Oryctolagus cuniculus: one gene and its partner. Each later gene encodes a partner of the first gene's protein in a complex. Links are inferred from orthologs where the notes say so. Each region holds a gene or a part of one and is shown in the gene's direction. Other genes may lie near its edges.

Evidence for each region.
Region 2: the proteins of CEP152 (region 1) and CEP63 are in contact, whole or in part, in a crystal structure (PDB 6CSU), measured with the Homo sapiens proteins. The link is inferred for Oryctolagus cuniculus from reciprocal best matches to the Homo sapiens genes CEP152 and CEP63. Residues at the interface, in NP_001181927.1 of Homo sapiens: Gly1261, Ala1262, Glu1265, Leu1266, Gln1269, Tyr1270, Lys1272, Ala1273, Lys1276, Ile1277, Asp1280, Met1281, Tyr1284, Glu1287, Ser1288, Arg1291, Ala1292, Met1295, Ala1298, Arg1302; in NP_001340037.1 of Homo sapiens: Phe666, Glu669, Glu670, Arg673, Ile677, Arg680, Leu681, His684, Glu687, Leu688, Glu691, Ser692, Thr695, Phe699.

Annotation. Positions count from the first base shown.
Region 1 is NC_091443.1:71,633,929-71,638,451, reverse strand, and holds the start of CEP152 (centrosomal protein of 152 kDa), read left to right. Parts: upstream 1-1,651; 5' UTR 1,652-1,791; intron 1,792-1,935; exon of another isoform or gene 1,936-2,204; intron 2,205-4,523. UniProt on the Homo sapiens protein: Necessary for centrosome duplication; the function also seems to involve CEP63, CDK5RAP2 and WDR62 through a stepwise assembled complex at the centrosome that recruits CDK2 required for centriole duplication.
Region 2 is NC_091435.1:146,915,022-146,918,840, reverse strand, and holds part of CEP63 (centrosomal protein of 63 kDa), read left to right. Parts: intron 1-559; exon of another isoform or gene 560-683; intron 684-1,829; coding exon 1,830-2,035; intron 2,036-3,091; coding exon 3,092-3,371; intron 3,372-3,819. UniProt on the Homo sapiens protein: Required for normal spindle assembly.

The DNA of each region.
Region 1 (4,523 bases):
CAGCTGCAAGACGAAGTCTGGGAACCATTTAGCCGTGATTCCATTCACTCGACTCCCGTCATTAAGTTCTCATTATACACCACACCGTATGCTAGATGATGCCAGTCAGTGCAGGCAACATGGGGGTGTGATGGGAAGGAGCTAAGGAAAACTAGCCCTGTTCTGGAGAGCCTTGAAGGAGCACTTTACTCCATACTAGTATCCATGGGAAAGCACTAATTAAAAGGATATGATGAACCTGTTGCTGGCAGCCTTTTTTATTTTATTATTATTTTTAAGATTTTATGTATTTATATGACAGGTAGAGTTATAGACAGAGAGACAGAGAGACAGGGAGAAAGGTCTTCCTTCTGTTGGTTCACCCCCAAATGGCTGCAACAGCCGAAGCCGCACCGATCCGAAGCCAGGAGCCAGGAGCCAGGAGCCAGGTGCTTCTTCCTGGTCTCCCACTCGGGTGCAGGGCCCAAGCACCTGGGCCATCCTCCACTGCCTTCCCGGGCCACAGCAGAGAGCTGGGCTGGAAGAGGAGCAACTGGGACTAGAACCCTGCGCCCACATGGGATGCCGGTGCCACAGGCTGAGGATTAACCTAGTGTGCCATTGCGCAGGCCCTATTTTATTAGTTTAAAAAATATTTATTTATTTATTTGAAAGGCAGAGTTACCGAGAGGCAGAGAGAGGTCCTCCATCCACTGGTTACACCCCAGATGGCCACAAGGGCGGGAGCTGGGTCCATCAGAAGCCAGAAGCCTTTTCCGGGTCTCCTATGTGAGTGCAGGGGCCCAAGGACTTGGGCCATCTACTGCTTTCCCAGGCCATAGCAGGGAGCTGGATCGGAAGTGGAGCAGAGGGACAGGAACCAGCACCCATATGGGATGCCGGCACTGCAGGCGGTGGCTTTACCTCACTATCCCACAGCTGCTAACCTTCGATGTTCACCAGAACCTTTTAACCAGAGCAGGTAGATATAGTAACCGGTTTTTCAGAAGACAGGGTGGTGCTGCATTCAAGGACAGGATAACGCAAACCTCAGTGACAAAAGCATTCATAATCAAGGAAATTAGTGAATGCATATGTGATAGAATGGGCCCTTTTTTTTTAGCAACTAGAATCACACTTAAACAAGGCAGGGCCTAGGCAGCAATACGACAAAGCAAAAACAACATGTCTGGCTGTTGGGAGCTGGAGAAACCAGCACCTTAGAAAAGAAGGGCAAATGCAAAAATCTCTACGCAAGAGTTCTGTGAGGAAACAGAGCTTGAGTGCTGTAGCCGACAACTAGAATTTAGGAGTGGAAGCGGGCAGGGCACGAGGTTCGGCGCCTATTTCCCGCACCAGTGGCACAGCGGACCTGGCTTTGCTGATCTAAACTAAGTTATCTGGCTTGGCGCTCCTGTGTCTCTAGGATACCTATAAGCCCGCCCACTCCAGAGTCAACCCTCTCGTAATTGGCTCACAAATCCTCCAATGGACGCACGGGGGGAGCTTCCCGCCACCTCTGGCGCCCGCTTTCAAACAGCCATACACTTGCAACTGCAGGCAGACCTCTCAACCAAGCTTGAGGAAGGCGGAGCATCTCGCCCCGCCCATAGCCGATATGGCCCCGCCCACCAAGCGAGAGTCCAGACGGTGATTTAAGGAGGCTGCTGCTAATCAAAGGCCTCGTGGCTCCGGGTTAGGTTGCGACTAGGCGGGAGCTAGTGGATTAGAGCTAGGATAAGGGGGGTTGCTAGAAGTTGGTCTTCGGCTGGGGCCTGAATTTTCCCCAAGTGACAGCGTCCGTGACCCCCGGTAAGTTCTGCTTCGCGCCTAGGGATAGGCCTGGGGTTGGAACAGTTACGGGGTCCTCGGGATCCTGGCTGAGGCTTCCCTAAGGACAGATCCACCCCCTCCCACATTGCGCAGTGGTGGACTGCCCTCAGGTTGCAGAGCTGAGCTTTTGACCCCAGGTTCCTAATTGAAAGTGACGGCTGGGGAGCCCTGCTCTTCTCTCCTTCGGGCGCCCCCAGGCCCCACGCCGGAGACCCCAGCAGTGGTCACCCAGCGCCGCGCTTGGCTCACAGTGGGCGCTCTGTGCACGTATGCTGACCGAGTGCAGGTGTCGTTGGCACCAAAGCAGGCAGCCCTAGGCAGCTGGGCGCCGTGCAGCTTGGGTCTCTGGGTAGCTGTTGGATGTGTCTTGACTGAGGTCCAACAGTTCTTCGGTAAGGTCGTTCGTTTATGCAAGGGCATTTACTTTTGTACTTATACACTCGTTCATTCTGTGGGTGCCTACCGTGTAGTAAGATTGCCTCTGGGCCTCTTAGCTATCTGTCCAAGCTGCTGTCATTAGAATCGTCATGTTATTTCTTTTTATAGGGCTGTTTTCTTTCTTTTTATCCTGTTCTGTTAAGCTTTGTCGTCTTAAACAGTGGTTACGATTGAATAGGCATCCTCAGCTGAGCCTTTCAGGTCTAAAACAGGATAGTGAGTTGTTTCCATCTTAGCAAGTAAGTAGAATTTCCCAACTCCCAGGACAGTTCCTAATCACTTAACCCTTTTAATTTTGTAGTTCTGAATTTGAATGCCTTAAGCGGATTTTCATCTCATATCCATGTTTCGTGACATTTTATGCATAATTTCTAGATAAGTGCATGCTTTCAAAAGAGACTGAAGTTGAAAAGCATTGGAAATGCAGTCTGAAGTGCAAAGAAGGATTTGATTTCATGGGGGAGCAGGATTGAGGAGCATCTTGCAAGAGGTGCATCTTCATTCCAGAGGGGGTTGGTTGTGTTATTTGAAGTACGGTTTCCCACAGGCTGCACACTCTCCATTTCTCAGTTAAATGGGATGCTGTTTGTTCCCTAAACTTCTTCTGTGGCTGGCAGTCTCCAGTTCAACAGTCATAAAGTCTTAATAGTAATAACCTAAGATGTGTTGGTTGGTACATGGTGCTAAGCATTTTATGTGCATCATTTTGTCAATTCTCACAACCAGTCTTTGAGATATTAATTCACGAAGAAATGGAAACAGTTGCTTAAGATTACATAGCTGATAAATGAAATGGCCAGAAATGAGCCCTGGTTGACTAAATCAGCGACTAACTCTTCAGCCAGTTACCCATGCTGTGCCCCTTAGTATCTACAGATATTTCTAATCTAAAGCATCTTTTTTCTGTAACTTCTCTAAACCTCCCTTCTTAGGCAAAGTTAATTTGTACTTTGTTTTCCTCTACTACAGAATGTAATACAATGTATTATTGTAACTACTAGTTTATAAGACTGTGATCTCCCCCAGGCTGGTACCCTGTTTTAGATGCATTTAGGATATAATCTGGCACTCAGTAGGTGGTCAATAAAACTGTATTGTCGTAGAGAATTTCATAAGGTGTGATGTGTGTATATTCAATGAATATGTGTGATGTGCCTACCATGTGCAAGGAGGCAGACATTTTAAGCCTTTAGTGTTTTTATTGTGCATTTCATGAGGCAAAAACAGTGCTAGTTTTGTTTTGTAATCTTTTGTCCAACAAAACAGCTATTAGTTTTCTTCTCTGTGCAAGAAAGGTAAAGAAAACATAACCAGAGACAACAAAATAAGTGCTGAGTCAGAGTGCTGTCCCATCTGAGTGTGACAAAAAGGCAGACGTGTGTTTTATAGTCTGTTAAGGATTCGGAAAATGTTATCTAGGAAGAAAGTAACTAGACTGCTGTTTTTAAAAGCATATTGTTATTCTGCATCTTGATTTTTTAAATCTGTAAATACAGGAAATAAATACAGGAAAATTTCATTTTTACTAATGGCATTTACTAGGGCACATATATTATTGATTTCAAGATAGTTTTAATTTTGCTAACAATTCATGAGTCACACAAAATATCTACTTGTTTAAAATGACATTTTTCTTGTTTAAATGACACTTGGAATAGTTCATGAGTGTAAGCCTTTTTTTAAATTAATTGAGCATTTATATTTAAAATGCATTTTTAGCTCAGTTGCCCATTTTTAAATTGAGTTGTTCATCTTTTTTTTTTTTTTTTTTAAAGATTTGTTTGTTTATTTGAAAGGCAGAGTTACAGAGAGGCAGAGGCAGCTGGTTCACTCCCCAAATGGCCACTATGGCCGGAAGATGGGCCAATCCAAAGCCAGGAACCAGATGCTTCTTCTGGATCTCCTTTGTGGGTCCAGGGGCCCAAGTACTTGGGTCATCTACTGCTTTCCCAGGTCATTAGCAGAGAGCTGGATCAGAAGTGGAGCAGCCGGGACACGAACCAGTGCCCATATGGGATGCCAGCACTGTAGGTGGTGGCTTTTCCTGCTACACCACAGCACCTGCCCCGAGTTGCTCACCTTATTTCTTGGCAAGTGTTATATATATTTACTCGGTCATGTGTTTTGCAAATATTTTTCTCATTTTTTTAACTTTATGTGATTTTTCCATATGTAATATTTGTCTTTTTAAGATTTAATTATTTGAGAGGCAGAGAGAAGGTCATCCTTCCTCTGGTTCGTTCCCCAAATGGCCACTGTGGCCAGAGCTGGGC
Region 2 (3,819 bases), on another chromosome or scaffold:
AGTTTTTACCTTTCACGTTCATCAGTCTGTAAGGGCTGTTAATAAAAGAACAACTTGGAGACACCTTTAAAAGGTACCTGGCAGAGGCAGGCACTGTCTGTTTTAAAAGTGTGTTTTAAATGGTGTCATGCCTCAGACTCTGGCTGCTGAGAAGCCTGTAAGCCATTTAAACACACTCTGGTTTTGAGGTCATGCACAGGGTGAATGTGTTATACATGTTAATAAGATTTATTATTAGAAAGTGCTCTTTTGCCTTTTACCACCTTGGGAGGGAGAATTACTTTTACAAATGAATGTTGGGTTGAAGTATCTATTTGAATTAGTTCTCTAATGCTCTTCATAATGAAAGCCACAGCTCCTGTAAATTATTGGCCGTTTTTTAACCATGGGTGGCAGTTTGCCCTTCTCTGAGACCCCGCCTTGGTGCCGGCTTGTTTGAAAAGTCTCTGGTTCATTAACTTTGCTAGTAAACAGGGTGTTAACAGGTGTATTTTAGAGTTTATATTCTTGTTGGGCAAGCTGTTTTCCAGGCCCCTCTTGACCATCTTACTCTTCTTAGATTTTTTGCAGAAAGGAGCAAGCTAAACAGCACATTAAACTCCAAAGATCACCATAATTTTGCAGAATGCTAGCTAAAACATTTTGTCATTAGAAAAAAATGGCCCAGTCTACCATTTTTTCAGGTACTGTTTTACCAGGAACTACCTAGAATTGAAGAACAATATAATTTATGGTCACAGAATTAAGAGCAGACCAGGGCAGTAAGTCCTGCCATATACAGAGGACCTTCAAAAAGTTCATGGAAAATAGGCATTACAAGAAAACTGCATGGATTTCAAAATTTTTTGCACTGAAATAAACTTATCTTTAGAAAATCTACTGATTTGAAAAGCAGAGATACACACACACACACACACACACACACACACCCAGGGAATGAGAGAGCTCCCATCAACCAGTCCACATACCCCAGCTCCCCCCACCCCCAACATTCCTGCAGTGGCAGAGAGGGGCTGAAGCTGGGAGCCTGGGAGCTCATTCCAAGTTTCCAGTGTGGGCAGCAGGAACCCAGCCACCACGTCCTGGAGGCTCTGCCAGCAGGAAGCTGGAATCAGAAGCCAGGGAGCCAGGCATCAAACCCAGGCCTCCTGATATGAGACATGGGCATCCCAACCACCAGGCCAAACGTCACCCTACAAACTTACTTCTTTATACCATTTTCCATGAAATTTTTAAAGTGCCCTTGTACTTGAGTTCTGCTTTATCCAAATGTACATGTAAGAACAGATGCCAAAGTTATGTAAAAGCATTTAACAACAAGGAGTATTTATTTAATCCTCTCAGCCAGAATTCCTTGTCAGAAACTTTATTCAGATCTCTCTCTCTCTCTCTTTGTCTCTCTGCTTTTCAAATTTAAAAATATAAAAAGTGGTTTATTAAGACAATCTTTTTATTTGAAGTAGGTGTCTGGGTTTTCTTGCTGGGTATCCTGGGCTGGTCAGAAGGACCAGGCTGCTGGCTCCTGTCTTCTGTTTCTGCTCTCACCCACAGCCTCCCTGCTCCCAGCCTCCTCCTCCTCCTGCACCTTGGGTGTGCTTTGGCACATAAGGAAGCTCACTGTGCTTCCAGCCTCCTAGTCCAGTTACACCAAGAAATGGAACCATTTTTCTCTTGGTTTCAAGAGGACTAAAAAAAAAAAAATCTTCAGTTTTGCTAAAGTAAAGCCATAGATTAGTTGGAACTATAAAAAAAAGTTTTTCCACCAGCAATATCACAGATCACATGTATTCTTGTACAAATTAAGTGACTCTAGTATTCTTTTTTATCAGGCAAAAGAGATCTCACTAGCAGATCTTCAGGAGAATTATATTGATGCATTAAATAAATTAGTGTCCGAAAATCAGCAACTACAGAAAGATTTGTTGGATACCAAATCTCAGCTGGAGATTTCTACTCAGATGTGCAAAAAAAAAATTGACAGAACTTTCAAACCAACACAGAGCAGAACAACTGAGTTCAAGGAAACGGAGTTCAAGTAAAATTTGTTGAGAGTTATTTATGTATTTATTGATTGATTAAATTTGCTTTTTGTTTGAAAGAGAAACAGAGATAGAGACATCTCCCATTCACAGGTTCACTCCACCCAGTGGGGACTGGGTGAGGCTGAAGCTAGGAGCCAGGAATTCAGTCCAGGTCTCCCATGTTAACAGGGTTACCCAAGAACTTAAACCGTCTCCTGCTACCTCTTGGAGTAGGCACTGGCGACAAGCTGGAATCAGGAGCATAGCTGGGACCTGAACCCAGGCACTCCAGCATGGGTCGTGCTTGTCAAACCCGTGTCTTAACCTCTGGGCTAAATGCCCACCCTTAAGGATGATTTCGAATGTGTCCTGTTGCACTATAATTCTCATCTTTTTTATTTGAGAATATTTATTTGAGAATAATTTTTATTATTAATAATTTTTATTAATAAATTATTTGAGAATAATGTCTGACTTGGAGACATGAAAGGACTTGAATTCTGCAGGACCGTGTGCACAAGGAAAGCCACAATCAGGTTAAAAAGAGCCAGGGGGAGGTGGCAGAGCACTTCATGAAAGCCTTAGTTTTGTGCACTCTGGCTGTGGGTGTACACAGCGGCTGTGTTCCCGAGTCTCCTCGTGCTGCCTTCCAGCTCCTCAAGCCCACTTGCCCCCAGAAGGAGTAGAATTAAAGCTTCCTCTGGACTTGTGGTCACTTTGTTATAGGCTGTTGCCCTAAAAAGTAAGCATGCAATGAAAAGCTGCCCGATTATAGCTTATACTGTGTAACTCACATGTTTGTCTACCAGAAGGCTTTGCTGCCACCCTCAGCCCCGCCTTACCTCTTCTGCAACCCTCACCTCCACTGCCTGGTGAGGTTGGGTCCCTGCCTGTGTGCACAGCACTTCCCTTGTCGCAGCACAAGCCGCACTGGATTTCTCTGGAAGCGTGGACTGTGTGAGGGCAGGGGCCCGCAGGGGCTCGCAGTGGGGGTTAGATGTCCAGAACCTCTGGCGGAGTGGGTGCTCATGTTGTATTTTATTTGTCTTGTTTTCTAATCCGCTCTCCAGGCCAACCCACAGCCAGCGCAGGCCTGGTGAGGCAAAGGCTGAGCACTACAAAGCAGGTCTGCATCCCCCCCGAGGACAGCCGGCGGACAGTCCTGAGCCCCTGGCCAGGGTCCTCAGCCCCCTGACTTCTCCGATCAGCCCTTGCAGCTCCACCGTCTCTTTGCCTTCTTACTTTCTGTGTCAGACTCACTCTTTGCCTTCCACGCTAGATATGAATGAAGCCAACTTTTCTGACAGTGTATCTGAGAGTATGAATGACCAAGAAGAGTTTCTGTCTTCGGTATGGAAACTTTCCAGTCTGACTAGTTTTTTAGTTTACTTAGATCCATTTCCTTTCTCTGTTGGTTTATTTATTGAAGCCAGTGTGGTTTTCTGGTTTGGTTTTTCTTTGTTTCCCTCTCTGGCTCTCTCCCTTAAGTGCATCTTGCCATTCTCAGGTGTCTCCATGCTGTCTTGATGGCTTTGCTTGTGAAGACGCATTCGGCCAAGACTTCAAAAATACATACCAGTCTAAGATACAGACGGAAATTATAGGGATTCATTTGTCTTTAGTCCCAATTGGAAGTGCCCTTCCTTCTTCAGAGAAGGTCAATTTTGTGCTAGAAGGCTTGGTTCTAGGAAGGTAGTCCAGGGCACACGGCTGGCTGGGGGTGGGGGTGGAGGAGGGGTGCGTCCCACGAGTGCAGGGCCTGGCGGGGCCCACTGCATGACCTGGTGCTGGAGGTGCC